Anolis sagrei: one gene and its partners. The protein of the gene in region 3 interacts with the protein of the main gene of each other region in a pairwise test. Links are inferred from orthologs where the notes say so. Each region holds a gene or a part of one and is shown on either strand. Other genes may lie near its edges.

Evidence for each region.
Region 1: the proteins of HOMER3 (region 3) and USP2 interact in binary tests that used the Homo sapiens proteins (3 or more experiments, as listed by UniProt). The two-hybrid records come from large-scale screens. The link is inferred for Anolis sagrei from reciprocal best matches to the Homo sapiens genes HOMER3 and USP2.
Region 2: the proteins of HOMER3 (region 3) and ABI3 interact in binary tests that used the Homo sapiens proteins (3 or more experiments, as listed by UniProt). The two-hybrid records come from large-scale screens. The link is inferred for Anolis sagrei from reciprocal best matches to the Homo sapiens genes HOMER3 and ABI3.
Region 4: the proteins of HOMER3 (region 3) and WIPF1 interact in binary tests that used the Homo sapiens proteins (3 or more experiments, as listed by UniProt). The two-hybrid records come from large-scale screens. The link is inferred for Anolis sagrei from reciprocal best matches to the Homo sapiens genes HOMER3 and WIPF1.

Annotation. Positions count from the first base shown.
Region 1 is NC_090027.1:39,100,792-39,107,936, reverse strand, and holds the start of USP2 (ubiquitin carboxyl-terminal hydrolase 2), read right to left. Parts: upstream 3,003-7,145; 5' UTR 2,813-3,002; intron 1-2,812. UniProt on the Homo sapiens protein: Hydrolase that deubiquitinates polyubiquitinated target proteins such as MDM2, MDM4 and CCND1. Isoform 1 and isoform 4 possess both ubiquitin-specific peptidase and isopeptidase activities.
Region 2 is NC_090026.1:32,484,449-32,492,105, forward strand, and holds the start of ABI3 (ABI gene family member 3), read right to left. Parts: upstream 3,020-7,657; 5' UTR 2,709-3,019; coding exon 2,589-2,708; intron 167-2,588; coding exon 1-166. UniProt on the Homo sapiens protein: May inhibit tumor metastasis. In vitro, reduces cell motility.
Region 3 is NC_090034.1:52,222,100-52,229,750, reverse strand, and holds the start of HOMER3 (homer protein homolog 3), read left to right. Parts: upstream 1-4,632; 5' UTR 4,633-4,817; intron 4,818-4,999; 5' UTR 5,000-5,161; coding exon of another isoform or gene 5,162-5,166; intron 5,167-7,651. UniProt on the Homo sapiens protein: Postsynaptic density scaffolding protein. Binds and cross-links cytoplasmic regions of GRM1, GRM5, ITPR1, DNM3, RYR1, RYR2, SHANK1 and SHANK3.
Region 4 is NC_090021.1:192,111,616-192,119,611, reverse strand, and holds the start of WIPF1 (WAS/WASL-interacting protein family member 1), read right to left. Parts: upstream 3,009-7,996; 5' UTR 2,807-3,008; intron 1-2,806. UniProt on the Homo sapiens protein: Plays a role in the reorganization of the actin cytoskeleton. Contributes with NCK1 and GRB2 in the recruitment and activation of WASL.

The DNA of each region.
Region 1 (7,145 bases), on a different chromosome or scaffold from region 3:
GTTCAATGTATACAAACGTGAGTTGTTGTAGACTTTTCGGGCTATATGGCCATGTTCTAGAAGCATTCTCTCCTGATGTTTCGCCTGCATCTATGGCAAGAATCATCAGAGGTTGTGAGGCATCTTCAGAGGTTGTGAGACCTCACAACCTCTAAGGATGGTTGCCATAGATGCAGGCGAAATGTCAGGAGAGAATGCTTCTAGAACATGGCCATATAGCCCGAAAAACCTACAACAACCCAGTGATTCCAGCCATGAAAACCTTCGACAATACATTACACAAACGTGGCTTCATGAGTCTATCTATCTATCTATCTATCTATCTATCTATCTATCTATCCGTCTATCGATCTATCGATCTATCGATCTAAAACTATTAGGTCTATATAAAATGTAAATGGGTTTCATGTAGAACAGTACAGCATGCCAGCAATGAATTTTGGCATATGGTTGAAGGAACTGGCTTACCTCTCATCCCCATTCTCCCAAGGCAACTGGGAACTGTTGCTTCAGGTTAGTGTGTGTGTATGTGTGTGTGTTGGGTTCTGATTCTGTAATGGAACCCTTTGTAATTCCCACAATCCTCTGGGAGAAGCCATGACAGTTTTTTTTCTATGTCAGGAGCGACTTGATAAACTGCAAGTTACTTCTGGTGTGAGAGAACTGGCTGTCTGCAAGGACTTTGCCCAGGGGATGCCCGGATGTTTTGATGTTTCACCATCCTGGATTATATAAATCCTCACTGCCAAATAATCTGGGATTTTTTTCCATGTCAGGAGCAACTTGAGAAACTGCAAGTCGCTTCTGGTGTGAGAGAATTGGCCGTCTCCAAGGACGTTGCCCAGGGGACACCTGGATGTTTTGATGTCTTACCATCCTTGTGGGAGGCTTCTCTCATGTCCCTGCATAGGGAGCTGGAGCTGACAGAGGGAGCTCATCCATGCTCTCCCCAAATTCAAACCTGCGACCTGTTGGTCTTCAGTCTTGCTGGCACAAGGGTTTAACCCATTGTGCCACCGGGGGCTCCTGCCATGACAGTTACGGAGAATAGAGGCAGGTAATATTATTATTATTATTATTATTATTATTATTATTATTATTACTACTACTATTACAGATATGTAACAGATTAGAGAGATGATTGGGCAAAACTAGCAAAATGAAGTTCAGCAGGGACAAATGCAAGATACTCCACTTAGGCAGAAAAAATGAAATGCAAAGAGACAGAATGGGGGACAATGCCTGGCTCGACAGCAGGACGTGTGGAAAAGATCTTGGAGTCCTCATGGACAACAAGTTAAACATGAGTCAACAATGTCATGCGGCAGCTAAAAAAGCCAGTGGGATTTTGGCCTGCATCAGTAGGAGCCTAGTGCCAAATTCCAAGGAAGTTATGCTCCCCATGCTCTATTCTGCCTTGGTCAGACCACACCTGGAATCACACTGTCCAATTCTGGGCACCACCATTGAAGGGAAATGTTGACTCTAAGCTGGAATGTGTCCAGAGGAGGGTGACTAAATGATCAAGGGTCTGGAGAACAAGCCCTATGAGGAGCAGTTTAAAGAGCTGGGCATGTTTAGCCTGCAGAAGAGAAGGCTGAGAAAAGACATGATGAGGGCCAGGGATCAAGATGTGAGAGGAAGTCATAGAGAGGAGGGAGCAAGGTTCCTTTCTGCTGCCCTCAAGACTAGGAGGTGGAACAGTGGCTTCAAACTACAGGAAAGAGAGAGGATTCCACCTGAACATGAGGAAGAACTTCCTGACTGTGAGAGCTGTTCAGTAGTGGAACTTTCTGCCCTGGAGTGTGGTGGAGGCTTTTAAGCAGAGGCTGGGTGGCCATCTGTTGGGGTGCTTTGAATGCGATTTTCCTACTTCTTGGTGGAATGGGGTTGGACTAGATGGTCCACAAGGTCTCTTCCAACTCTATTATTATTATTATTATTATTATTATTATTATTATTATTATTGTTATTATTAGAAACCCAACAAGATGAATCCACAGCAAACAAGATCACTCTGCTGGCTGTTGCATTGAATCACACATCGGACACTTCCCAAGTGTCTAGGACTGTGTCATGTATCGGCAAATAATGTGTGCAGATCCCAGTAAGGTGGCCTTTTGAAGCTGGCAGATAGTAATTTTATTAGCACTGATTGTGTTTAAGTGCAGGCCAAGGTATTTAGGCACTGCACCCAGTGTGCCGATCACCACTGGGACCACCTTTACTGACTTGTGCCAGTAAATCCTCATATCATGTTGTTGTTGTTGTTGTTGTTGTTGTTGTTGTTGTTGTTGTTATTATTATTATTATTATTATTATTATTATTTTACTGACACCACAGTATGTCACAGCAAACGAGATCTATATGCTGGATTTCGTATCGCAAAATCATAAGTCGAACACTTCCCAAGCGTCTAGGACTGTGTGATATATTATTATTATTATTATTATTATTATTATTATTATTATTCAATATAATCCCATTGAGGATGGAGATAAAACTTCAGACTGGCCTAAAACCACCTTTGCCTCCATCCCAAAAATGCTTGTGGATGGATGGCCGCATTGGATGAGCATTTGGCACATGCTCAGAGGGATGACCACACTTATCTTTGTTACTTCCCTTGGGATTCTGGGAGTTGTTTCATATCATATCATCTTTAGCCTTCTCCACCAAAGAGGGTTGGTGCTTCTCTAAACGATATCTCCTAGTATCCCATTGCAGTTAAACTGGTATCAAACTGCACTAATTTGACAGTGTAGACAAGCTCTGGATGGACCCTTCAGCCTCAGTGTTGATGGTACCCACCTGTGTGCCGAACGACAGGCCCAGGGAGGAATCGTGGCATATGGATGGCGCTCCGGATCAACGGCAGGTGCTCCGTTCGGTCTCAGCAAGCGGCTTTTTCTATTAGGAAAATAGAAATGATTCACAAGAGCCCAAAAGGACTCACTTGTTTGCAGACTCAGAGGATTCTCCTCTCCCTCGCAGGGCAACGTCTGCGGCACAGAATGAACTCCCAAGGCATGTGTCAGCAGCATAGGCAGAAATTCACAGCTCAGGTTACAAGCCAGATAAATATAGTGTCTTATCTGACCTCACGGGGGAATGGATGGGGCTCTCTCACATTCCAGCATCGGGGTGGCTTAAAGGGGAAGCGGAGTCAGAGGCCTAACCAGGCATGTTTATGGTTTTGTGTGGAGTGGGTCAAGAGAAACTACCCACATTGGAGAGAATTTGGAAAAGTTTGCTCTTCTTTTCCTGCAATGGCTTGAAGAAATTATGCTGTTGCGTGCCTTCAAGTTGTTCGGACTTAAGGCAACCCTAAAGTGATCCCATCACAGGGTTTCCTTGGTGAGACACATCCAGAGAGTGTGACTCACCAAGTCTATGCAGATGATCATGCCATTACTACTCAAGCAGGGAGCTTTGAGATGATTGAACAGAAGCTCTCCGAAACTCTAGGTCAGTGGTTCTCAACCTTCCTAATGCCGTGACCCCTTAATACAGTCCCTCATGTTGTGGTGACCCCCAACCATAACATGGTTTTTGTTGCTACTTCATAATAGTCATTTTACTATTGTTATAAACCATAATGTAAATATCAGATATGCAAGATGTATTTTCATTCACTGGACCAAACTGGGCACAAATACCCAATGCACCCACATGTAAATGCTAGTGGGGTTGGGGAAGGATTGATTTTGTCATTTGGGAGTTGTAGTTGCTGGGATTTATAGTTCACCTATAATCAAAGAGCATTCTGAACTGCACCAGCGATGAATTTGAACCTAATTTGCCATACAGAACTCTCATGACTAACGGAAAACACTGGAAGGGTTTGGTAGGTATTGACCTTGAGTTTGGGAGTTGTAGTTCACCTATATCCAGAGAGCACTGTGGACTCACGCAATGGTGGATCTGGACTAAACTTGACACAAATACTCAATATGTGCAAATGTGAACACTGGTGGAGTTGGGGGAAAATAGACCTTGACTTCTGGGAGTTGTAGTTGCTGGGATTTATAGTTCATTACAATCAAAGAACATTCTGAACTCCACCAATGATAGAATTTGCTCAAACTTCCCACATGGAATCCCCATGACCATCAGAAAATACTGTGCTTTCCGATGGTCTTTGGTGACCCCTCTGACACCCCTTCGTGACCCCTTCAGGGGTCCCGACCCCCAGGTTGAGAAACACTGCTCTAGGTGCTCTTACTGCCTACTACAGGGAAAACCAACTGATCCCTAATCCATCTAAAACACAGACATGTGCTTTTCACCTTAAGAACAGACAAGCATCCCGAACTCTGAGGATTATTACCTGGGAAGGAATCCCACTGGAGCATTGCAGCACACCCAGATACCTGGGAGTCATTCTGGACCATGCTCTGACCTACAAGAAGCACTACCTGAACATCAAGCAAAAAGTGGGTGCTAGAAACAATATCATACGCAAGCTGACTGGCACAACCTGGGGATCACAACCAGACACAGTGAAGACATCTGCCTTTGCGCTATGCTACTCTGCTGCTGAGTATGCATGTCCAGTGTGGAACACATCTCACCACACTAAAACAGTGGATGTGGCTCTTAATGAGACATGACGCATTATCATAGGGTGTCTGCGCCCTACACCACTGGAGAAATTACACTGCTTAGCCGGTATTGCACCACCTGACATCCGCCGGGAAGTAGCAGCCAATAGTGAAAGGACCAAGGCAGAGACATCTCCAACTCATCCCCTGTTTGGGTATCAGCCAGCACGTCAATGACTTAAATCTAGAAATAGTTTTCTAAGATCTACAGAGACACTCACTGGAACACTTCAGCAAGCGAGAGTCCAAAATTGGCAGGCTCAAACCCAGAACCTCAATCAATGGCTGATACCAAATGAGAGACTGCCCCCTGGGCACACAGAGGACTGGGCGACTTGGAAGGCACTGAACGGACTGCGCTCTGGCACCACGAGATGCAGAGCCAACCTTAGGAAATGGGGCTACAAAGTGGAATCCACAACCTGCGAGTGTGGAGAGGAGCAAACCACTGACCATCTGCTGCAATGAAACCTGAGCCCTGCCACATGCACAATGGAGGACCTTCTTGCGGCAACACCAGAGGCACTCCAAGTGGCCAGATGCTGGTCAAAGGACATTTAATCAACTATCAAGTTTGCAAATGTTGTTCTTTGTCTGTTTGCTTGTTTTGTTCTGTTAGAAATGTAATACAATTTACTGGTTGCCCTAACACGACAAATAAATAAACCAAGTAGGTTTCTACAGCAGAGCATGAATTTGAAGCCTGGTCTCCAGAATCACAATCAACTACAAAAAATTCCTCTGTTGACTTATGGCTGATTTATGAATTTCATGGGATTTTCTTAGGAAAAGAATACTTGGACTATTTATTTATCGTGCCAGGAGTGAACCAAACAGTTGTATTGCATTAAAAACAAACAAACAAACAAACACAAAGTTTGCAAGCTTGGTAGTTGATTAAATGTTCTTTGACTTGGATTATACACCCCAGAAGCCAGCATAGCCATCGTGAGTCCAATAAAAGGAACTTCCATTACTCCAAAAATGTAACTTTTTCAAACATGGGGGTATTTAAGATGGGCACTGTCAGAGACTCTTATCCATCTGTGCACACATTAGTACAAACCACATGGCAATGGTATTTGACACAGTTTCTAACAGAGGCGTGTCTTCATGGTAGAATTAATGCATTTTAATACAACTGTAACTGCCATAGCTCAATGTTATGGAAACCTGAGATTGGTGTTTGGTGAGGGACTGATATGCTTGGGCAGAGAAGGATAAAGACCACGCCAAACTCCAATTCCCAGCATCCCAAAGCATTGAGCCATGACAATTCAAGTGGTGTCAAACTGCATCAATTCAACAATGTAGATCAGGTATAGGTAAAGCCAGGCCCAAGGGACAGATGCGGCCCCTTGGGCTCTTTTCTCAGGCCCTCCTCTCTCTCATCATCCCATCCTTCCTTCTCTCTTCCCTTCCTCCTTTCCTCCCTCTTTCTCCTTCCCTTTCACCATTTCGCCCTCTTTCCTCCCTCCCTTCTCTCTTTCTCCCTCCTTCTATTTCCTTCCACCCTTTCATGCTTCCATCCTTTTCTCTTTCCTTCCCTTCCTTCCATCCTTCCCTTTCACATTTTTGTCCTTCCTTCCTTTCCTCTTCCCTCCCTCTCTCCTTCTTTCTCCTTCTTTCCTTCCCCTTTGTCTTCCCTTCTTACTCTCTTTCCTTTATCCTTCCCTCCCTCCCTTCTGTCCGTCCATCCATCCTTCCATCCATCCATCCATCCATCCATCCTTCCTTCTTCTTTTTCCTTCTTCCTTTTATCTTTCCTTCCTTCTTTCCTCCCTCTTTCCCGCTCTCCTTTTCTCCTTCCACCCCTTCCTTCCTTCTTTCCTCCCTCTCCCCTTCTTTCTCCTTCCTTCCCTTTTGTCTTTCCTTTCTTGCCTCTTTCCTCCCCTTCCTAATTCTCCCTCCTTCTACTTCCACCCTTTCATCCTTTCATCCTTCTCTCTTTCCCTTCCTTCCTTCCTTCCTTCCTTCCTTCCTTCCTTCCTTCCTTCTATCCATCCACCTTTCCCTTTCACATTTTCGTCCTTCCTTTCTTCCCTCTCTCCTTCCTCTTGCCCTTTTTCTCCTTCTTTCCTTCTTCTTTGTCTTTCCTTCTTTCTCTCTTTACTTTACCCTTTCCTTCCTTCCTTCCTTTTTCTTTTTCCTTCCTCCTTCCCTTTTATCTTTCCTTCCTTCTTTCCTCCCTCTTTCCCTCTCTCCTTTTCTCCTTCCACCCTTTCTTTCTTTCTTTCTTTCTTTCTTTCTTTCTTTCTTTCTTTCTTTCTTCCCTTTCTCCTTCTCTTTCTTCCTTCCATCACCAGGCAGCCAGTCATCCTAGCAAAGAGTACTAACATGTGGCCCCCAAGTTAGAAAGCTTGTCCATGTCTGCTGTAGATGCACCCTGACTTTTGAAATTAAGATGATTAATAAGGACCAGAAACTTTAGGGAGGGAACTGAAAGCAGATTTCTAAAGAACGCTGAATACGAACTTTTCAGCTGGCTTTCATCTTGGACACCTGATAAAATCTTGTTTGTTTTTAACAAGCACTTACAA
Region 2 (7,657 bases), on a different chromosome or scaffold from region 3:
GTGTGATGGAGCAGACATTGGCTTCCACTTGCCGGATTTCAGCCGCCTGCAAGTCCAGCATTTTGAGGATGTCGCTGGCCAGGTTGCTGATTTGGTAGGCCACGCTGGCTAATGATTGAGTGGCAAAACCCATCGTTTCCTCAAGGGCTTTCCGTTTGTCTTGTGCCTAAATTATTTCAGAGGAAGAGGGAAAGGAAGAGGAAGAAGAAAAAGGGAAACTTAGAGAGATACTAAGGGCCCTTCCAGACAGGCCCTATATCCCAGGATCTGATCCCAGGTTTTCTGTTTATCCCAGATTACCTGGCAGTGCGGACTCTTATAATCCAGTTTAAAGCATAAAACCTGGGATCACATCCTGGGATATAGGGCCTATCTGGAAGGGCCCTGAAATGTCTGGTAGTGGCTTCTCAGATGTGACTTTTGCTATAGGAACAGAACTTTAAGTATGGTTTTGTCTGTGTGGAGCCTCCAGTGATGCAGTGGGTTAAACCACTGAGCTGCTGAACTTGCTGACCAAAAGGTCAGTGGTTTGAATCTGGGGTGAGCTCCTGTTGTTAGCCCCAGCTTCTGCCAACCTAGCAGTTCGAAAACATGCAAATGTGAGTAGATCAATAGGTACTGCTTCTGCAGGAAGATAACAGCGCTCCATGCAGTCATGCTAGCCACATGACCTTGGAGGCATCTACGGACAACACCAGCTCTTCGGCTTAGAAATGGAAATGAGCACCTCCCCCCAGAGTCGGACACAACTAGACTTTATGTCAGAGGAAACCTTTGCTTTTACCTACCTTTGCCCGTGTGATGCTACAAACCTGGGGAAGTTTATAGGTTATCCCCAAAACACTGGGATTTACTTTTTGTTGAAATCTTCACAAAACCCAATGAAAATTAAAATGAAAGTTGCCTATAATTTGCTTATCTCTAGAAAGTATCCTCCAATGACCTTCCAAGAAACTGAAACTTACTCCTTAGTCTAAAACAACGTTCCCTACTCTTGTACTGTATTAGGCGGAACTGAGCAACTGCATAGATGGCATGGAATAATTTACACCCTTCATAGAGACTTCCCAATGGGTCATTGAAGTGCATTGAAATGAGGTCATGGCATATCTGGCAATCATTTTTCATCTGCATCTTGATACAAAATATTATTTTGTTTCAAAAACATTGCATAAAATAGTTTATTTAAAACTGATAAAATAAAGGGCTCACAAGTTGCTAGATAGTTTTAGACCAAAAACGGGCAACAGCGGCTGCATTGTCTGTAGCTTTAAACAATTCTTCCTCATTGCATGAGGCAGGGCATTGTGGACAAGCATACAGATGCTGAGTTGTTTGTTCTGCTCCACAGTCACACAAGGGGGAGGATTCTTTTAGGTAGTGCCATTTTGCCAAGTTGTCTTTCGATCTGCCAACTCCGCTTCGGAGTCTGTTCAGGGACTTCCAAATTGCCCATTCTTGGGGAAGACCCTTGTGGGGGGCCATCCAGTTAGTACTACCAGTTTTTGCTACCTACAGGGATATTCTTGCTGTTGCTTTTGATCCAAAGATGGCATGGGAGTGGGGAAATCAAATTGCTGAATAACAACTTTTTTTTTTGCCTGTTGGGGACATTTAGAGTTTGAAAAAAAATCAATCCAAAATCACCCCAAAGTTTCAGCTGGAGCACAGATTCGGGGTTTTTAGGACATGTAAAGAGGCTTTGGTACTGTAAAACTGATCCCCCTCCCATCCCTTGGTTAGATGATTTTCTGGCTTTCCAGGCAGGAGTGTTGGTTGGCTAGAATCTCTGCATAAATGAAATATTCATCCCTCCGCTTCCTACATCATCCCAGAGGTTGCTAGTCCCTAGCTCCTGCAGCAGCCAGCTTCCTATATAAATAAAAGGTGTTTCAACAGCTTTGGAGATAATTCCTGTGCCATCCATCCCATTCACATCAGGAGCTGGCAATACCCTCAGCAACCTAGGAAACTATCTTTCCACACTTCTGTTCAAGCATGACTTAGAGTGCTGCTTTTTATAGCTAACTCTAGGGTAAGGATGGGCAAACTTCAGTTTGCGAGGTATTTTGGACTTCAACTCCCACAATTCCTAACAGTAGGTTGTTAGGAATTGTGGGAAGTAAAGTCCAAAATACCTGGAGGGCCAAAGTTTGCCCATGCCTTCCCTAGACATTCTTCTGTCTGAGGCAATGGACAAAGTGAAGATGATACCATCTCCCTATTCTACATACAGAAGGTAATTGAAGGCAAACTCTTCCTTCAGTAACAACAAGGGGATAACACTTTCTACCACAACTGGGAGCAACAGGCTAGTTTATGACACTCCAAATTACTTCTTGACTACAAACCCTGGAATCTCAATTTTTCTGGAAATTCTAGGAATTACAGTCCAAAAGGTAACTCAAGTCTCCAATAGCTGTAAAATAGTGCAGTCCTCCATCAAAAGGGATAAATCAGACTAAGAAGGGATTATGGGCAGCAGCTCCAAGACCTGCCACCTGAACTAGTTGTTTCTACCCAATGGTAGAGCCAGCCCCACTTCTATGGCAAGTGCCATCTCAGAATCCTACCCAGCTGTGACTCACCTGCCCATAGTTGCTCTCACAGTAATCAGCCACTTTGAGCAGGTTGCTGTAGTTTTCCTTCAGGACCCCCCTTGCACAAGGGATGGATGCCTGTATCAGCTGCTGCAATTCGGAGGACATGCTGTCATCAGTCTGGTCTCCACACTTCCTCCTGACAGCGTGCGGTGTGGCAACTTCACCCAAGATCCGATCTCAGTTTCACACAACTCATGGTGACACTGTCTGGCTGGGACCTCTTTTATACTTGAGTCGACGCCTCCTGTGGCAGAGCCCATCCCACCCCTCGGTCTTCTTGCTGACACCCTGAGATTTATTGCTGTCCTCCAAGTACACATGGAAACTGTGTGGACATCCTCTTTCATTCCTGGAGTGACAAGTACCTCCACGCTTAGCATACAAGATAAGAAAACTTTCTTCGGCTTGAGTGAGCAACAATAAATGACGAGAAATAACTGAGGAAATGTTGAGGGAGATGGTGCAGGGAGGGGAGAGGGACTGTCAAGAGAGGAAACTATTATTTATAGAACTTTGTTTGCTTAACTGATTGCAGCAATGCTGACTTTTATTGCTAAGTGAGCCAGGTGAACATGTGTAACTTAACTCAGGCCCCTTCTTCATAGCAATGTAACATCCAGATTATCTGCTTTGAACTGGATTATATAGCAGTGTAGACTAAGGGCTCTTCCATACAGCCATATAACCCAGATATCAAGGCAGATAATCCACAATATCTGCTTTGAACTGGGTTATCTGAGTCCCCACTTCCATTACTTACTTACTTACATACTTACTTACTTACTTACTTACGCAATCCCACCTTGCCCGAGTAGGATAGTCTTCCAGGATCAGTATTCTGGTGGGTCCGTAGGTGACTGTGGAGTCCTATTTTTGATCTGCATCTTCTCCTACAGTGAGGGCATTGGTTTCCAGGTGAAAAGCGGTCTCGGTCAGGGGTGGCTTGACGCGCCTTCCTCTTAGCACGTTTTTCTCTTTCACCCTCCATTCGTGCCTCTTCAAATTCTGCAGCACTGCTGGTCACAGCTGACCTCCAGCTGGAGCGCTCAAGGGCCAGGGCTTCCCAGTTCTCAGTGTCTATGGTTTTTAAGGTTAGCTTTGAGCCCATCTTTAAATCACTTTTCCTGTCCGCCAACATTCCGTTTTCCCCACTGCCATATAACCCAGTCCAAAGAAGATAACGTGGATTTTTGTATAGCTGTGTGGAAGGGGCCAAAGATAATCCAGTTTAAATCAGATAATGTGTATTTTCTCCTTTGATAACCTGAATTATCTGGCAGTGTAGAAGGGTCCTCAGCGTTTGGGACAGCATATTTTAGTTTATAGTTCATAGCATCCTTGCTTGGGGATTCTGGGAATTTATCTTTCCTTTGATACTAGTTCAGAGCACACATTGCTAGTCAACATAGAAAACCAAGGATGAGCTCAATACTACTACATTGTATCTGATCCATCAAACCATTATGCCCAAGCTGCCCAACCCATGGACCCATATGTCTCCTGTCCCATTAGGAGAGAAAAAAACAAAAGAACCTTGAAGCTACTCAGGGAAAGTAAGAGACGAACAACGCAAATTGTAGTTTCTGTCTCTGTTTTGTGCCACTATCTAAGTCTGCTTCCATCTTCCTTGGCACATACAGAGAAAGCAGAAGTCAGGCCAGCTATACTTCTATCTTGAAGCACCAACTCAATTTTGCACTGACCTTTACATTTAGCCCTTTCCAAGGTATTGGTTGGAAGAATCCCTATCATTAGTTCCAGGCAGAAATTCAGCCCTACCAAGGTTCCTCACTTCTGCACCAACAGTGGTTCCCATGATATTGGAATTATGAAACTACTACAGGTTTTTAGTTTCCTTAAAATTTAAGGGAACTGACCAAGGGCCTAAACCCTGAAAATTAAGGAAACTGACCTGGGGACTAAAACTCAGGTCTTGCCAATTACTTCCTCTGAAATATTGCTACAGTTCCTGGTATTAATTGGCAGCCTCCCATCCATTTTTGCTAAAACCTGTTTAGTTTCCAAGTTCAGAGAGAATTTGGTGCCTTTATTTAACCCTCTTTTGAGGAAGGTAAATGCAAAATCACCCGAACCAACCAAGCAATGTTGAATTAATTTCCTCATGTTCTGTAAAATCCATATAATTGAAGTAGCAATAGTTGTCAGCATAACCCAGAAGTTGGCAAAACCAGCTCTCCTGCCCAGGATCTAACAAAGTTTCTAAACTAAGGCCCTTGTGAAATAAATTACTTTATGATGCACATATTTGACAGTGCATTTCCTATTTGCCATTAAAATAATAATAATAATAATAATAATAATAATAAACAATGCAAAGACTCTGGCACAAGCCAGTCAAGGTGGTCCCAGTGGTGATCGGCACACCGGGTGCAGTGCCTAAAGACCTTGGCCTGCTCTTAAACACAATCGGCACTGACAAAATTACCACCTGCCAGCTACAGAAGTCCACCTTACTGGGATCTGCACGCATCATTCACCAATACATCACACAGTCCTAGACACTTGGGAAGTGTCCGATGTGTGATCCAATACAACAGCCAGCAGAGTGTCTGCTGTGGACTCATCTTGTTGTGTTTCAAATAATAATAATAATAATAATAATAATAATAATAATAATAATTGCACCCTGCCACCATCTCCCCAAAGGAACCCGGGACGGCTCACAGAAGCACTCCAAGTGCCACATGCAGACAACCATACATAAGTACAGGGCCGTAGCCAGAAAAAAATTTCGGGGAGGGTTGACAATTTCGGGGGGGGGGGGTTTGAAAATTTCGGGGGGGGGGGGGGAATTTCGGGGAGGGTTGAAAATTTGGGGGGGGGGTTGAAACCTGCCTCCTAGCTCACGCTAAAGCAAAGCGCACAGCAGGGGGCAGAGCAACCTTCAATAGCCTGCAGCTCCACCCCTGTCAACCACCTCCACCAAGTCTGGCCTCCTTAATGAGAGCATTCAACACACACACACACCACTTGGTTGCTTCACTACATCGCTATTGCTGCAAGTAATGACAGTGTGAATAAATTGTCAATATTTGCTTGAGATAGTGCTTACAGCTCTGGAGGGACTCTTAATTTTTTGCATCTCATAGACTTAGCATGGGGATTTGGTTAACCAGTTAAAATTCATGAGTAAACCAGTTTTTTTAAAAAAATCTGAAACATTTCGGGGGGGGGTTTGAACCCCTAAAACCACCCCCTCACTACAGGCCTGCATAAGTATAAACACAATGACATAAATATAATCAACAATGCATAAGAAGAATGCCTGTCAAGGATTTCTTTGAATTACAGCTGAGGCGCTAAAGCTGTTAATTTGCTGAAAAGGCAGAGACAGCTTCCAAAGGTACAAGATGATAAAAAGAGCCAATGGGAGCACAGCACATACTTCTGCAGTCCAATATCCTTGTGACCCATTAGATGCCCATGGGGTGGCCACAGGTTGTTCACAAGCACTGATATTAGGAACCGAGTGTGCATGGGGAATGCACACTGCCCTCTTAACATCCATCCAGTTCTGCTCATGTTAAGCCACTAAGTACCTTTAGGAGACTAATTCCTACTGAAAGACTACACAGAAATGCAACTTGAATTTAACCTTGATGTACCTGATCATAACTTTTTGTAAATATATCCAGAAAGGAAGGTGTGGGTTGGGGGAAGGATCAAGGTTAATGTTCACATGAGTCATTCCCTTGTCCTTCAAATATAGAACCTTACCCCTGGGCCTAGTTGCATAGAGATTGTTATTGTTGTGTGCCTTCAAATCATTTTTGAATTATGGTGACCCTAAAGCAAACCTATCAAGAAAGTAAACCTCACAACCTCTGAGGATGCTTGCCACAGATGCAGGCGAAATGTCAGGAGAGAATGCTTCTAGAACATAGCCATATAGCCCGAAAAACCTACAACAACCCAGTGATTCCAGCCATGAAAACCTTTGACAATACAGTTTTGGAGGACTAAGAGAGTGTGACTCACCCAAGATCATCCACTGGGACCCCTTCCACACAGCTGAATAAAATCCCACATTATCTGCTTTGAAGTGGGATATATGTCAGTATAGACTCAGATAACCCAGTTCAAAGCCGATATTGTGGGATTTTCTGCCTTGATATTCTGGAATATAGGACTGTGTGGAAGGGCCCTGGTTTCCAGAGTCAGAGGGCCCTTCCACACAGCCATATAACCCAGAATATCAAGGCAGGAAACCCCACAATATCGGCTTTGAACTGGGTAATCTGAGTCCAAACTTGGATAATGTGGGATTTCTTGTGTTGATATTCTGGTACATAGGGCTGTGTGGAAGGGCTCCCAGTTCAAAGCAGAAAATGTGGAATTTTATCCCCCTGTGTAGAAAGGGTCAGAGCCCAAAGTTGAAGACACTACACCAAGTATCCTCAAACTATGGTCCTCCAGTTGTTTAGACCTCCAACTCTCAAACATCATGACAATTGAACCAGCTGGCTAAAGCTTCTGGAAGTTGGCCCAAACAGCTGGAGAGCCACAGTTTGAAGATGCCTGCACTACACCATGTAGAGCAAGCATCTTCAAACTGTGACCCTCCAGCTGTTTGGGCCTCCAACTCCCAGAAGCCCTAACAAGCTTGTTCAATTGTCAGGAATTCTGGGAGTTGCAGGCTTGAACAGTTTGAGGATGCCTGATCTAGAGATTGACAGTAAATATTTTTTGCTGAAGGAAATACAATCTTTCTCGGCTCAGGTCACTGTTCCTTATTTTTGTTTCATATATCCCTGGAGTTGTCAATTGAACAAAGGGGCTTATTGGGGTGAGTATAAAATAACCTTTCAGTGAACCCATAGATGACTAGTAGGTCAGCCCAAGAATCAATGAGTTGAGTGCAGAAGACAAGCAGACCTAAACAAATCTGGAGCATTTCATTCAATAACTAGGAAACTGTTTTGGGGACTCAGGGCTGAGGTCTAGATTTTGAGCCTGGAACATCTCATTTAGTCACATCTGCATTGTGTATATGTCTCCCACTCTAATGGATCGATTGATCTATTTTTTTTCCA
Region 3 (7,651 bases):
TGGTTATAGGTGAACTACAACCCCCAAAACTGAAGGTCAATCTCTCCCAAATCCCTCCAGTAACCAAATTTGCGCATATCAGGTATGCATGCCAAGTTTGGTCCAGATAAATAGGCTTTTGGGTTCACAGTGCTGTCTGGATGGGAGTGAACTACAACTCTTATAAATCCACCTAAAGACAAACAGTATTTTTTTTTGTTTCTGTGTGCCAAGTTAGTTGCATATTCATTGTTTGTGGAGTTCTAAGTGCTCTTTGATTACAGATGAACTATAAATCCCAGTACCTACAACTCTTATAAATCAAGATAAATTATTTCCAAACCTCTCCAGTATTTTTCTTATGTCATGGGGGTTCTGTGTGGCAAATGTGGTCCAGGTCTATTGTCATTGGAGGTCACCGCACTCTGTCTTGATGCAGGGTGAACTTCAACTTCCATAATGTTGGGTCAGGCTCCCAAACCCCTCCAGTATGAGCAATTGCTGATCAATTCCTCTATGTTTGCTGTGTGCCATAGGAAAGAGCAGTAAAGGAGTATGGGAGATGCAGGGGGCAGGGTCATGCAAATTCCACACCAATGGAGAGAGAAAGAAACACTGGGATGCCTGTGGTGGAGGAAACACATAACATTTGGATGACATTGTCCCCTATGAAAGCCTTCACTTAGGTGGTGGGCAGTATTGTTTGTGGGGGACATTTGACATGTTCAATGGTGTTCACTATAACCTGCAATGAACATGAGGGTATTTGGTGTCTCCTGAGCAGTGGGAGCTATAGTTTTTTTGTGGAGGAAGGAGCTTGTCAGTGTTTCTCAACCTTCCAAATGCTGCGATCCGTTAATACAGTTCCTCACGTTGTGGTGACCCCGAACCATAAAAATATTTTCGTTGCTACTTCATAACTGTAATTTTGCTACTGTTATGAATCGTAATGTAAGTATCTGATATGCAGGATGCATTTTCATTCACTGAACCAAATGTAGCAAAAAATACCCTGATACACCCAAATTTGAATACTGGTGAGGTGGAGGGGGAGGGAGGGAGGTTATTGTATTTGTCATTTGGGAGTTGTAGTTGCTGGGATTTGAAGTACACCTACAATCAGAGACTATTCTGAACTCCACCAATGATGAAATTGAACCAAATTTGGCACACAGAACTCCCATGGCCAACAGAAAATACTGGAAGGGTTTGGCGGGCATTGACCTTGAGTTTTAGAGTTGTAGTTCACCTACACCCAGACAACACTGTGGACTCAAATAATGATAGATCTGGACCAAACTTGGCACAAATACTCAAAATACTCAATATGGCCAAATGTGAACACAGGTAGAGTTTGGGGAAAATAGACCTTGACATTTGAGAGTTGTAGTTGCTGGGATTTATAGTTCACCTGCAATCAGAGCATTTTGAACCCCTCCAAGGATAGAATTGGGCCAAACTTCCCCTATGACCAAGAGACAATACTGTGTTTTCTGATGTTCTTGGCAACCCCTCTGACAACCCCTTGTGACCCCCCCCCCCGGGGTCCTGACCCCCACATTGAGAAACGCTGGTGAAAGTGGACAGCCCAGCCATATACACACATACATATTTTCACTTTTATTATCTGTATTGATACTTAGGTGATCCCTCGTTGTCCGAGTAGGAGTCTTCTAAGGTCAGTGTACTGGTGGATTCGTGGGTGACTGTGGAGCCCTATTCTTGACCTGCATCTTCTTCCGCAGTGAGGGCATTGGATTCCAGGTGGAAGGCGGTCTCAGTTGGGATTGGCTTGACGTGCCTTCCTCTTGGCACATTTCTCTCTTTTGCCCTCCATTCGTGCCTCTTCAAATTCTACAGCACTGCTGGTCACAGCTAACCTCCAGCTGGAGCGCTCAAGGGCCAGGGCTTCCCAGTTCTCGGTGTCTATGCCAGAGTTTTTAAGGATGGCTTTGAGCCCGTCTTTCAATCTTTTTTCCTGTCCACCAACATTCTGTTTTCAGTTCTTGAGTTCGGAGTAGAGCAACTGCTTTGGGAGATGGTGGTCAGGCATCTGGACAATGTGGCTGGTCCAGCGGAGTTGATGGCATAGGACCACCGCTTCAATGCTGGTGGTCTTTGCTTCTTCCAGCACGTTGACACTTGTCCGCTTGTCTTCCCAAGAGATTTGCAGGATTTTCTGGAGGCAGTGCTGATGGAATCGTTCCAGGAGTTGCATGTGACGTCTGTAGACAGTCCACGTCTCGCAGGTGCATAGCAGGGTTGGGAGGACAATCTATATAAATAAAAATGTGATGTTCGTTTGTGGGATTAACAGAACTCAAAAAACACTGGAGGAATTGACACCAAATTTGGACACAAGACACCTAACAACCCAATGTATGTCCTTCACTCAAAAATATTGATTTTGTCATTTGGGAGTTGTAGTTGCTGGGATTTATAGTTTACTTACAATCAGAGAGCATTCAGAATGCTGGCATTGAACCAAACTTGGCCCACAGTTCTCCCATGACCAACAGAAAATACTGGAAGTGTTTGTTGGGCAGTGTCCTTTGGTTTTGGAGTTGTAGTTCACCTACATCCAGAGAGCGTTGTGGACTCAAATCAAATCAAATCATTTATTTCGGTCATTGACCAGCACAGGAAATAGTCACATTTTCATACAAACTTGGTATGTTTGGTACATTAAAAATATAAATATAACTACTGAAGCACAATATGGGTGAGGGAGCAGAAGGGAAGGGGAAACAGGGTAAAAACATACAATGCCCATATCCATCACCAAATTGTAGATTCAGAGAAGAAGATTACTGGACACACAGTTAACTTTTGGGGCTAGTCATTCCCTGGCGGATTTGGTATGCTGTTGCACAGAACTTTGCAACATTGTAGGTTGTAGCTGAATTAATATCTGCAAGTAGCATTTGTTTTTCATTCGTTCAGTCATCTCCGACTCTTCGTGACCCCATGGACCAGCCCACGCCAGAGCTCCCTGTCAGCCGTCACCACCCCCAGCTCCTTCAAGGTCAGTCCAGTCACTTCAAGGATGCCATCCATCCATCTTGCCCTTGGTCGACCCCTCTTCCTTTTGCCTTCCATTTTCCCCGACATAATTGTCTTTTCTAAGCTTTGCTGTCTCCTCATGATGTGGCCAAAGTACTTCAACTTTGTCTCTAGTATCCTTCCCTCCAATGAGCAGCCGGGCTTTATTTCCTGGAGGATGGACTGGTTGGATCTTCTCGCAGTCCAAGGCACTCTCAGCACTTTCCTCCAACACCACAGTTCAAAAGCATCGATCTTCCTTCGCTCAGCCTTCCCTAAGGTCCAGCTCTCACATCCGTAGGTGACTACAGGGAATACCATGGCTTTGACTAGGCGGATCTTTGTTGCCAGTGTGATGTCTCTGCTCTTTACTATTTTATCGAGACTGGACATTGCTCTCCTCCCAAGAAGTAAGCGTCTTCTGATTTCCTGGCTACAGTCTGCATCTGCAGTAATCTTTGCGCCTAGAAATACAAAGTCTGTCACGGCCTCCACATTTTCTCCCTCTATTTTCCAGTTGTCAATCATTCTTGTTGCCATAATCTTGGTTTTTTTGATGTTTAGCTGCAACCCGGCTTTTGCGCTTTCTTCTTTCACCTTGATGAGAAGGCTCCTCAGCTCCTCCTCGCTTTCGGCCATCAGAGTGGTGTCATCTGCATATCTGAGGTTGTTAATGTTTCTTCCAGCAATTTTCACCCCAGCTTTGCATTCATCAAGCCCCGCACATCGCATGATGTGTTCTGCATACAAGTTAAAAAGGTTGGGTGAGAGTATGCAGCCTTGCCGTACGCCCTTCCCAATCTTGAACCAGTCTGTTGTTCCGTGGTCAGTTCTTACTGTTGCGACTTGGTCCTTGTACAGATTCCTCAGGAGAGAGACAAGGTGGCTTGGGATGCCTATCCCACTAAGAACTTGCCACAATTTATTATGATCCACACAGTCAAAGGCTTTAGAATAGTCAATGAAGCAGAACATCTACTTCTGCAAGGAGCATGGAGGTATAAAATTGCTGTGGACTCAAACAATGATGGTTTTGGATCAAACTCTACATGAAGACTCAGTATGCCCAAATGTGAACACTGGTGGAGTTTGGGGAACATGGAATCTTGACATTTGGGAGTTGCAATTGCTGGGATTTGTAGTTCACCGACAATCACAGAGCATTCTGAACCCCACCAGTGATAGAATTGGGCCAAAACTCTCACACAGAACCCCCATGTGGGCCACAGCAACGCGTGGCAGGGGACGGCTAGTAGCTTTATAAACAAGCACCTTGGTATCCCTATCTGCTTCATTCGGGGAAAAAGCTGCACTCGCAGAGCTCAGGATAGATATATAATTTCATGAATGAATATGGATATGTGTGTGTGTGTGTGTGTGTGTGTGCTAGTTAATAAATATATAGGAGGAGCTTAGTTGAGGGTTCCTGTATGGGAAAGAGGCTGGACTAGATGGCCTTTGGGGGACCCCTTATAAGATTTCAATCTGTAAGCCTTGCAGAGAACAGCTGGGGCCTCCAGATTGAATGACTCTGGGGTATATATATATACATGTGTGTGTCTCTCCATAAAAGGTGTAGGTCCCATTGCTGACCATTGGGTGGCACCACTGAGCCAACCAAAGAGAAAGGGAAGAAGGGAGGAGAGAGGGGTGGAAACTCGGGAGAAAAGAAATGTGGTCGAGATGAAGCAGAGTTGGCAGAGGAAGCCAGAGGGTTTCTTTCCAAAAGGGATCCTGTCTCTGTATACTATACATAAGGGAAACGTAAGACCTTGAGGATCTCCTTCACAAAGTGGGTAAGCTTTGTTATAATTCCATATCTTTTGAGAGGGATTGTGGTTTGGCTGGAGCAGAGCAAGCGGCAGGAGGCATTGAGAGCCAGATCTGGTGTGCAAGCTAGATTTTCAGATACAGCTGTGTGTGTATGTGTATGCATGCCTATTAACAATCGTTTTGTCTTCCTTTCTGGGCTTGAAAGTGGCCCCATCCCCCTTGGAGAACAAATGGCTTTCCAAAGTCAAATTCCGGAGGAAATTTGAGCAGGATCCGGATCTGGACAGAAAGAAAAAAAAAGGAAGAAGGAAAGAAAGAAAAGAAAGAAAAGCTGGCAACGTGGAGGGAAGATCACAGCCTGGAAAAGATGGGGTGAGAGGATCATCTTTCTTTCTCAGATATTGATTGATGTTTTGTGGTCCTGATCAAGGCTGTAGGATTATCTTGATGGCTCATTTTGAGGTCCAAAAGTAAAGTAATGAATGGCTGGAGCCTGAAGTTTTGCAGTCCCAAAGAGGGAATGGGTCTCTTCTGAGATCTTCTAGTGTTTCCTTTGAGAAAGAAGAGCAACAATGGGGTGTGGCTGGTATAGACTTCCCATAAGGGAAGGAAAGATGGGATTTGTTCCTTTGTTGGGGTGACCTTCTCATGAAGGAACCCACAGCGATGTATTCACTAGGTCTCTAAGGGACCCCCAAAGAGCATCTCGTCCAGCCTCCTTTCCATGCAGGAACCCACAATGAACCCACTCCTCTGTATTTATTAATTAGGTTTCTAAGGGACTCCCAAAGGCCATCTAGTCCACCCTCCTTCCCATGCAGGAACCCACAATGAACCCACTCCTCTATATTTATGAATTAGGTCTCCAAGGGACTCCCAAAGACCATCTAGTCCAGCCTCCTTCCCATGCAGGAACCCACAGTAAAAGTATTCTTATATTTATTGTCTAGATCTCTAAGAGACCCCAAAGGCCATCTAGTCCAGGCTTCTTCCCATGCAGGAACACACAATAAACCTACTCCTCTATATTTATGAATTAGGTCTCTAACGGACTCCCAAGGGTCATCTAGTCCATCCTCCTTCCCATTCAGGAACCCACATTCTTATATTTATTATCTAGATCTCTAAGAGACCCCCAAAGAGCATCTAGTCCAGCCTCCTTCCCATGCAAGAACCCACAATGAACCCACTCTATATTTAATAATTAGGTATTTAAGGGACCCCCAAAGAGCATCTAGTGCAGCCTCCTTCCCATGCAGGAACCCACAATGAACCCACTCTATATTTATTAATTAGGTATCTGAGGGACCCCCAAAGCCCATCTAGTCTAGCCTCCTTCCCATGCAGGAACCCACATTCCTATATTTATTATCTAGATCTCTAAGAGACCCCAAAGGTCATCTAGTCCAGCCTTCTTCCCATGCAGGAACCCACAATGAACCCACTCCTCTATATTTATGAATTAGGTCTCTAACGGACTCCCAAGGGCCATCTAGTCCAGCCTCCTTCCCATTCAGGAACCCACATTCTTATATTTATTATCTAGATCCCTAAGAGACCCCCCAAAGAGCATCTAGTGCAGCCTCCTTCCCATGGAGGAACCCACAATGAACCCACTCTATATTTATTAATTAGGTATCTGAGGGACCCCCAAAGGCCATCTAGTCCAGCCTCCTTCCCATGCAGGAATCCACAATGAACCCACTCTATATTTATTAATTAGGTATCTAAAGGACCCCCAAAGCCCATCTAGTCCAGCCTTCTTCCCATGCAAGAACCCACAGAGAACCCACTCCTCTATATTTATTAATTAGGTCTCTAAGGGACACCCAAAGACCATCTAGTCCAGCCTCCTTCCCATACAGGAACCCACAATGCACCCGCTCCTCTGTGTTTATTAAGTGAGTCTCTAAGGAACCCCAAAGGCCATCTAGTCCAGCCTCTTTTCCATGTAGGAACCCACAACAAAACTCTGCCTCCTTTGTTGACTGTTAAGTAGTGGGATTGCTTTCCTTGGAGAGAAGTGGACTCTACTTCTTTGGTGGACTTGAAAGAGAGGTTGGATGAGCCTCTTTCAGGAGTGATTTAGTTGTGTCAGGCAGGTGAAGGTTGGACTGGATGGCCTTTGTGGTCTCTTGTGATTCTAAAATTCGATGATATGTATTTTTAACAGAGAATGGATGGAGGTTGGACTAGATGACCAACCTCCATCCATTCTCTAGGATTCTATGATTATATAGTCCCATTTCTCCACGAAACTTCAAATGTCTATGAGGTTGGATGGCCATCTGTTGGAAGAGATTGGATGGTGTCTTCCTGTCCGGCAGGATGGGGATGGACCAGATGGCCTTTGGAGGTCCCTTCCAATTCTAGGCAGGGAAAGAATAAGAACTTCTGCTTTAAAAGCCATTTGACAGAGGGCTGAGTCAGCAGGGCAGCGAGCCAGCGGCTTTTTTCCCAGGCTGCCTCTCAGCTAGAAAAGAGGCCTCTGAAAAGACAAACCAGATGTGTTTTTTGAAGAAATGGGAAGGGAGGTTTCCAAACTGCCCTGTGTTCAGAGATAAACTAAGATCTGGTGTGGTTTGAGCTTTGGAATACAACTCCAGAGACCTGGGTTTGAATCCCGTTCTCGGTCATAGAAACGCACTGGGTGACTTGCCCCACAAAGTACTTACAGTTAAGTCGGAACACAACAACAGCAGCAGGGACTGTAAAGAAATAGGACAGCAATACACAATCCCAACTTCAGTATTCAGCGATACACCTTTAGACTTGAGGATTCTTATTATTATTGTTATTATTATTGATCCCATCTTTGTTATTCAACAATACACCTTTAGACTTGAGGATTATTGTG
Region 4 (7,996 bases), on a different chromosome or scaffold from region 3:
TACTCCAGAAAATTAATTTTTGTGGCAGACACAAACTATGTTGAATTGGTTGAGACTCAATGAGATATTCATGAACTAGCAAAATGTGCTGCAGGGTGTCCCACAAAAACAAAGTTTTTACAGTTTAATAAACTTTTTACGGTACTATTCCATTATCCGAATGAAGGCCAAAAGGTGGTGCTAGAGAGAGAAAGATAGTCCATTTAAAGGGGGGGGGGGGGATTAGGGAGTTAAACCACTTCCCCTTGTTTTCCTGTTATTTCCCCTACCCATGTTCCCACTCTGGAAACAACCCTCGTTTATGAAATGGGAAGTGGAGAGGGGGAATAACCAGCAAAAACGGGGGTCATGTTTTTTTTTCCTTCAACTTCCCCCTCCCATACAACGGACTATCCTTTTGGAGTCATAGAGTCATGGAATCCTAGAGTTGGAAGAGACCTCATGGGCCATCCAGTCCAACCCCCTGCCAAGAACCAGGAAAATCGCATTCAAAGCACCCCCGACAGATGGCCTGCCCTGATAATGGAACAGTACTCCTTTTCCATGTTTTAATGATAGAATTAATTAGGAAATGACACTTATAATCCAGGAACAAAAAATTGCGTTGCATAGTGTAACCTAAACAATAGTAGTCAGAATAATAAAAAGGTTGGAATTACAAATGTGTAATGGAGTTCCCGGTGGCGCAGCAGGTTAAACTGTTGAGCTGCTGAACTTGCTGACTGAAAGGCTGGCAGTTTGAATCCAGGGAGCTGGGTGAGCTCCTGCTGTTAGCCCCAGCTTCTGCCAACTTATCAATTCGAAAACATGCAAATGTGAGATCAATAGGTACCGCTTCTGTGGGAAGGAAATGGTGCTCCATGCAATCATGCTGGCCACATGACCTTGGAGGTGTCTACAGACAACATCAGCTCTTTGGTTTAGAAATGGAGATGAGCACAACCCCCAGAGTCCAACACAACTAGACTTAATGTCAGGGGGAAACCATTCATCTTGGAAGGGCTTCATCTCACTTACTTTTCAAAACAAACTCCCTCTCTCTTGTCACTCCCCAAAGGCAAAGCAAAGCAGTGAGGCTGGATGGTAAACTGGCCTGCTCTCTAGTCCCAATCTCCGGAGGCAACTGCAGTTTGTGATTATTCATACAGCTTGACCCCCACTTATTTATTTATCATGCCAGGAGCGAACCAAACAGCTGTATTGTATTTTTAAAACACACACACACAAAGTTTGCCAACTTGGCATTGTAGTAAACGTCCTTTTACCAGAAGCTGGCCACTTGGAGTGCCTCTGGTGTTGATATAAGAAGGCCCCTCATTGTGCATGTGGCAGGGCTCAGGTTGCATTTTTCACCCAGAAATTAGACAAGAACAAAAACATCAAAGATTGGGGGGGGGGGGGGGATGATAAAATACATGATAGTTGCTGCCCAAGCAACTGTGGCCTTGGGGTGGAAAGACCATAGAAAGTGGGAAGTTAAAAAATGGTATGGTTACCTAGCAGACTTTATGCTTCAGGACTACATCTCTGAAAGAAGAGCCAAATATACAGCATGCCGAATCAAGAAGACTGATGGGGAAGACTGATAGAAAAAGTCGAAGGAAAAGAAAGATATAAAGAGCTGAACCATTCTCTTTACATGATTCTTCAATTAAATTAATATTTGAATGAAGACAAGTACTGCTCCCAAAGGGTGGGGGTGGGGGGTGGAGGAAAGGGGTGTAAAATCAATAGACACAAGTGGGGGATAAAGGTGGAATAGGTAAGGATAACACTATGAAAACAATATTTGATATGTATTCGGAAATGGTGATGGATTGTGATATTATTCTACCTGTGTCAGCAATAATAATAATAATAATAATAATGACAATGACATGATATGATATGAGAATTTAAAGATCAAATTGCAAAGACTCTGGCACAAGCCAGTCAAGGTGGTCCCAGTGGTGATTGGCACACCGGGTGCAGTGCCTAAAGACTAGGCCTGCACTTAAACACAATTGGTGCTGACAAGATTACCATCTGCAAAAGGCCACCCTACTGGGATCTGCATGCATTATTCGCCAATACATCACACAGTCCTAGACACTTGAGAAGTGTCTGACGTGTGATCCAATACAACAGCCAGAAGAGTGTCTGCTGTGAACTCATCTTGTTGTGTTTCTAATAATAATAATAATGATGATGATGATGATGATGATGATGATGTTGCATTGTAGTAGGTGGTCAGTGCCTTGCTCTTGAATTGCTGTGGAATTGTGGGTTTCCTCTTGGGCAGAGATGGCTCAAGACTTTGGACAACTACAGCTCCCAGGGTGCCATAGCATGGACCCATGACAGTTAAAGTAGGACCAAAACTGCGTTGATTCCAGTGTAGATCAGGCATGGGTCAACTTGGGCCCTCCCTCTAGGTGTTTTGGACCGGCAGGCTGTTAGGAATGGTGGGAGTTGAAGCCCAAAACACCAGGAGGGAGGGCCCAAGTGCGCCCATGCCTGGTGTAGATGCCCCAGCCCTTTCTCTCTCTCGGAGAGCGCCCAAAGGAACGCAGCCAGGGATCCCGACCCGAACCAGGGGCCGAAGAGGGCGATGGCGAGCTGGGCTCCTCCCTCTCTCCTTCTCCCTCCCTCCCCGACCGGTTATGGGTCGCCAGGAGCGGATCCCGGGCAGCCAGGAGGGCGGAGAAGCCAAAGGCACCACGAGACTCTTCCCAAACGCCTGGGCTCCTTGGCTTCCCTCCTCGGCGCACAGGCGAACGTGGGATGGTGTGGTTCTCTTGAGAAAGAAAGTAGGAAGGCTACCCACCGAAACTTCTACTGGCCCTCGCTTCCTCCTGCTCCTCCTCCTCCTCCTCCTCGTTCTTCCTCCTCGGGAGCCATGCAGAGGTGGGCGCGGGCCCCAGTCCAGATGCAGAGGGCAAAGGCAGCGGCGATGGGGTGAAGCTGCCGACGTTGTCAGTCCTTCGGGGCGAAGCAAGGAGGGAGGAGAGCCAGCCCCGGGCCCCACCCCCGGCCTGGCCCCGCCAATCCCCGCCGCTTCCTCTTCCTCGCGGCCAGCGACGCAGCCCGGTCAACCCGGGAAAGGAAGGGAAAGGACAGACAGACAGACAGAGGGAGGGGCCACGCCAAAGCAGGCCCGCTCTCTCCCGCAACGGGACTCTGATTACATATTCTCTGTGTTCCTGGGTTAGAAATATATGTCATTTCCTAATTGGCTGTATTACAAAAAACATGGTAAAAGTTTCTTTACAACTTTGTTTCCTCGGCACATTCCTTCAGCACTTTCAAGGAATCTCTCACCCAGGACCCTTCCACACAGCTGAATAACACCCTACCCTGAACTGGGATATATGATTGTATGGACTCTGATAACCCAGAGCCCTTCCACACAGCCCTATAACCCAGGAAATCCCACATTATCTGAGTGTGGACCCAGGGCCCCTTCCACACAACCATATAACTCAGAATATCAAGGCAGAAAATCCTACGGTATTAGTATGATAGCTGAGTAAGGAATCTCTGAGCGTTATGCTGCTTATGCTTCACACCTTCGGGGCGCTGTTTGCGCAACGCAGAACGGAACACGTGACCAAAAAACCCCTACCCTAACCTTAACCCTAACCCTAACCCTGAACTTAACCCTAACTCTAAACCTTACCCTTACTCTACCCTTAACCCTAACACTAACAATAACCCTAAACCAGAGGTGGCCCTAGGTAATTTTCAATGGTAAGCAAACAGTATTTTGCCCCCCCCCCCCCAGCCAATCATTGATAGATATTTTCTTTTCGTCGTGGGAGTTCTGTGTGCCATATTTGGTTCAATTCCATCACTGGTGGAGTTCAGAATGCTCCTTGATTGTAGGTGAACTATACATCCCAGTAACTACACTTGCTGCACTTGCTCCCTTGCCTGGCCCGCTTTTGGTCCAGAGGCGTGCCTGAAGACCCCAGCGTGTGCACCAAAAGTCACCTCTTCTCCTGACTTTCTCCTCAGCCGTTGGGGCCAAGAGAGAGAGAGAGAGAGAGAGAGGTGGAGATGCCCACCTTTCCTGAAGGTAGGCGCAAAAACAAAGGAGGGAGCGGAGGTGGGAGATACCTCCAGCTGGAGGGGCTCTCTGTCTCTCTCTCTCTCTTGGTCCCAATGGCTGAAGAGAAAGTCAGGAGAAGAGGTGACTTTTGGTGCGCACGCTGGGGTCTTCAGACACGCCTCCAGACCCGAAGAGGGCCAGGTGCGGCGGCTCCACCCCTTGGCCCACCCGCGGATTGGGGAGAGGAGAGGAGGCGGGTGGAGCACCAGGGGATCGGGAAAGAGTGCCAGTCATGGGGAAGGGATCGAACATGGAGAACGATTGAGCGCCGGCTCTGCTCGCGCACCCGGTGGCCAGGTGGAGCAGGAACGAGAGGGGCTAGGAGAGGCTCAAGAGCCCGGCCACTTTGGGAAGAGGATCGCCTGGCAGCGAGGCAAGAAAGCTGAGGCTCTCCCCGGACTGCTAGGGTTGTTGTGAGCTGAGGGGGCGCTCCTCAAGTGGCAGTCGAGGGGCATTTACAGAGGCGCCTCTGCACCCCTGGCAAAAAAAGTGTTCTGCGACCGCTTACTTCGCGTAATGGATGAGCTGCCCATGCCCTAAACCTAACTCTCACCCTAGCCCTAGCCCTAACCCTAACTCTTACTCTACCCTAACCTTAACCTTAACCCTAACCCTAACCCTGAACCTAACCTTTTCCCTAACCCTAATCCAAACACTAGCCCTAACCCATAACTCTAATCCTAACCCTAACAATAACCCTACCCCTAACCCTAATCCAAAACCTAACCCATATTTTACAGAGTCCTGGGGGGGGGGGTGTCACCTCCCATATCAATATGTGTTCATCTTCCCTATAGAATGGATGCAGTTTGAAACCATTTTAACTGCTGTGGTTCAATGTTATGGAATCCTGGGAGGATTCCACAGTACTGAGCCCTGTGGTGTCAAACTGCATTACTTCTAAAGTGCAGATGCACCCTCTAAATATAATGGAAGTACACCATGCCTCCCCATGTGAAAGATCAGTTGCATGAGAGGGATGGGCCCATCAGCCAGCTGCTTTGTGAGCAACAGGAGGAAATATCCCCTAAGCTAGTGGCTATGTAGGAATCCTAAAAATGTCACTCTAGGGGTGCACTTATGCTAGAATATATTCAGTTTGACACCACCTTAACTGCTGTGGAATCATGGGAGTTGCAGTTTGGTTCTCTTTGGCAGAGAAGTCTACAGGCCTTGTAAAACTACAACTCCCATAATTCCATAGCATTGAGCTATGTCTGTTAAAGTGGGACCAAACTGCATTAATTCTACAATGTGGATGTACCCTAGATTATGCATTCATAGCTGCTAAACAAGATTCTGACTTTTTCCCTCTAAATTGTGTAATTCCTTGAGTAAATCTAAGTCCTTCTAAATTGCCAAAATCTTAACATTTTCAAAAATCAATAATTAGAAATAAAAAAACCCACAAAAATTAATATGCTGTGCCACTGAAACTGACAAATGGATATTCATGTGCTACCCAAGAAGGTAATTCCTATCAAGACAGTTGCAGTCTTTGCCCGGTGCCTAACAGCTGCATGGCAGAAAGAAATGAAACAGCTGCAGCTTTGCTCTTTAGGACAGGACTGGAGAATGCTTGTAAGCTTCACCTGTGGGGCCTTTCAGCACCCCATCCCTGCAGCTGTTATAGACCCAACATTTCTGCCATAAGGACAAAAGAAACCATAGCAATCTTTGGTTTTTTTTTATCCAGCTGTCTTTGGTCATTCACAAGGACAATCAAGCCACACTGTTGCCTTTCAGCTGTAGTCTTCTTCTGTCTCAAAGGATTCCACTGTACTTCCAATTTAGTTAATCTGGCAAAAAAGTACCGTATCATCTTTGTTGCGTTTTCTTCCTTCAAGATGCTTAACGCCTGTTCAGTTGGGGTGGCCATGGTTGCACTACTAGAGATTGTGGGATTACATCTCCTAGGAGGCATTGCCATTTGCTGTGTTGCTTACTTACTTAGGCGATCCCTCATTTTCCGAGGATGATTGTCTTCCAGTATTCTTGTGGGTCCGTATGTGGCTGTGGAGCCCTATTCTTGCTCTGCATCTTCTTCCGCAGTGAGGGCATTGGTTTCCAGGTGGAAGGCGGTCTCGGTTGGAGTTGGCTTGATGCACCTTCCTCTTGGCACGCTTCTCCCTTTCGCCCTCCATTCGTGCCTCTTCAAATTCTGCAGCACTGCTGGTCACAGCTGACCTCCAGCTGGAGTGTTGCTTATGATTGTTGTGTGATAGGTTTCATGATTTCCATCTCTCACTTAGTGCCCTTTTCATTACATAGTTGATAGTACTTTAACTACCATAACTGCAGTCCACGAAATCTTGGGACTTTTAGTTTTGCAAAGCAATAAAGCTCTCAGGCCATGAATTCTGAGAGCTTTCATAGAGAAAACATTATGAAGGGGAGACAAAAGTATAATCCAAATAGGTGATTTACAATCCCAAATTAAAATATTTCTATCTCATGCATTTGTATGGAGTCGTGGTGTATGGAGCAGTGGTGGCGCAATGTGGTGGTTAAACACTTTTTGCTGCTGAACTGCTGACCTGAAGGTTGGTTGAACTATTGACCTGGAGGTTGGCAGTTTAAATCCAGGAAACAGGGTGAGCTTCTGTCTGTCAGCTCCAGCTCCTGCCAATCTAGCCGCTTGAAAACATGCAAATGTGAGTAGATAAATAGGTACCGCTTCGGCGGGAAAAGGCAAAGAGACACTCCAAGCAATCTTGCCAGCCACACAATCAGGAAGTGTCAACGTAGGCTCCTTGGCTTGAAAATGGAGAAAATCACCTCCCGAGAGCCAGAGATGTGCACTGCCTCCAGAAGCCGGAAATGAAAGGAGAAGCCTTTGCCTTTGTTTATGTTTGTGTGTCTCATTGTATATGATTGTAAAAGGCATTGAATGTTTGCCTATGTATGTAAATGCTGTAATCTGCACTGAGTTCCCTAAAGGAAAAGGGCAGAATATAAATAAAGTGTGTTGTTGTTGTTGTTGTTGTTGTTGTTGTTGTTGTTGTATCATTGAAGACAGCTTATAACCTTTGGGGAAAAAACAACCCTGTATGAGTCACAGTGGTACATGGGAATCATAATGTAATTGTATAGTGTGAAAGGGCCCCTTCATCAGCAATTAAATCGTGATACTGATCCAATTGGGTGATTCTATAGATAGAAGGACTTACTCCTATTGGCGGAACTGGAAACAGGACTTTTCTTCCTCCACCCTGTAGCCCCCCATATTATCCTCCCCAAACCAGCTTTGGATGGGATTGGAAACCCTCCATGGAAGCAGGGAGGGATGTTGTGTATATGTGTATGTTTGTGTGTGGGATTGTTTATCAAAGTAGCAAGTGTGATGTTGGATAAAGACAACATTAATATAATCAAATATTATACTTACAACAATATCTTAAATAGTAGCTCTGGGACAAAATCCACTTGAGATGCTGATAGATGCTGATAGAAAAATAGCATCTCTGTGCTTTACTTGCAGTCTCCAGGAAACTTTCCCATCCTAATTTGCCTCTCAAATCCACACAGGGTGGAACTAGATGACATTTGGAGTAATTTTGTGGGTGTGTGGAAGTTACAGGGGTGCTGGGAACAGCAATTGTTGTGTGCATGGACATCTGATCATATATTCACAACAATAAAAATGCAGGGAATAAAATCAACCTCTGTACATGGCATTCATTGACCTTGCAGAGGCATTTGACACAGTGAATCACAGTGCTTTCTGGACCATCCTCCAAAAAATTAGATGCCCTGACAAATTTGTGAACATTCTGCAGTTCCTCCTCGGTGACATGATGACAACAGTCTTGGACAGCAGTGGCTCCCAAAGTGACCCTTTCACTGTGGAAGGTGTCAAAACAGGGATGTGTGATTGCCCCAAACTTATTTTCCATCTTCATCGCT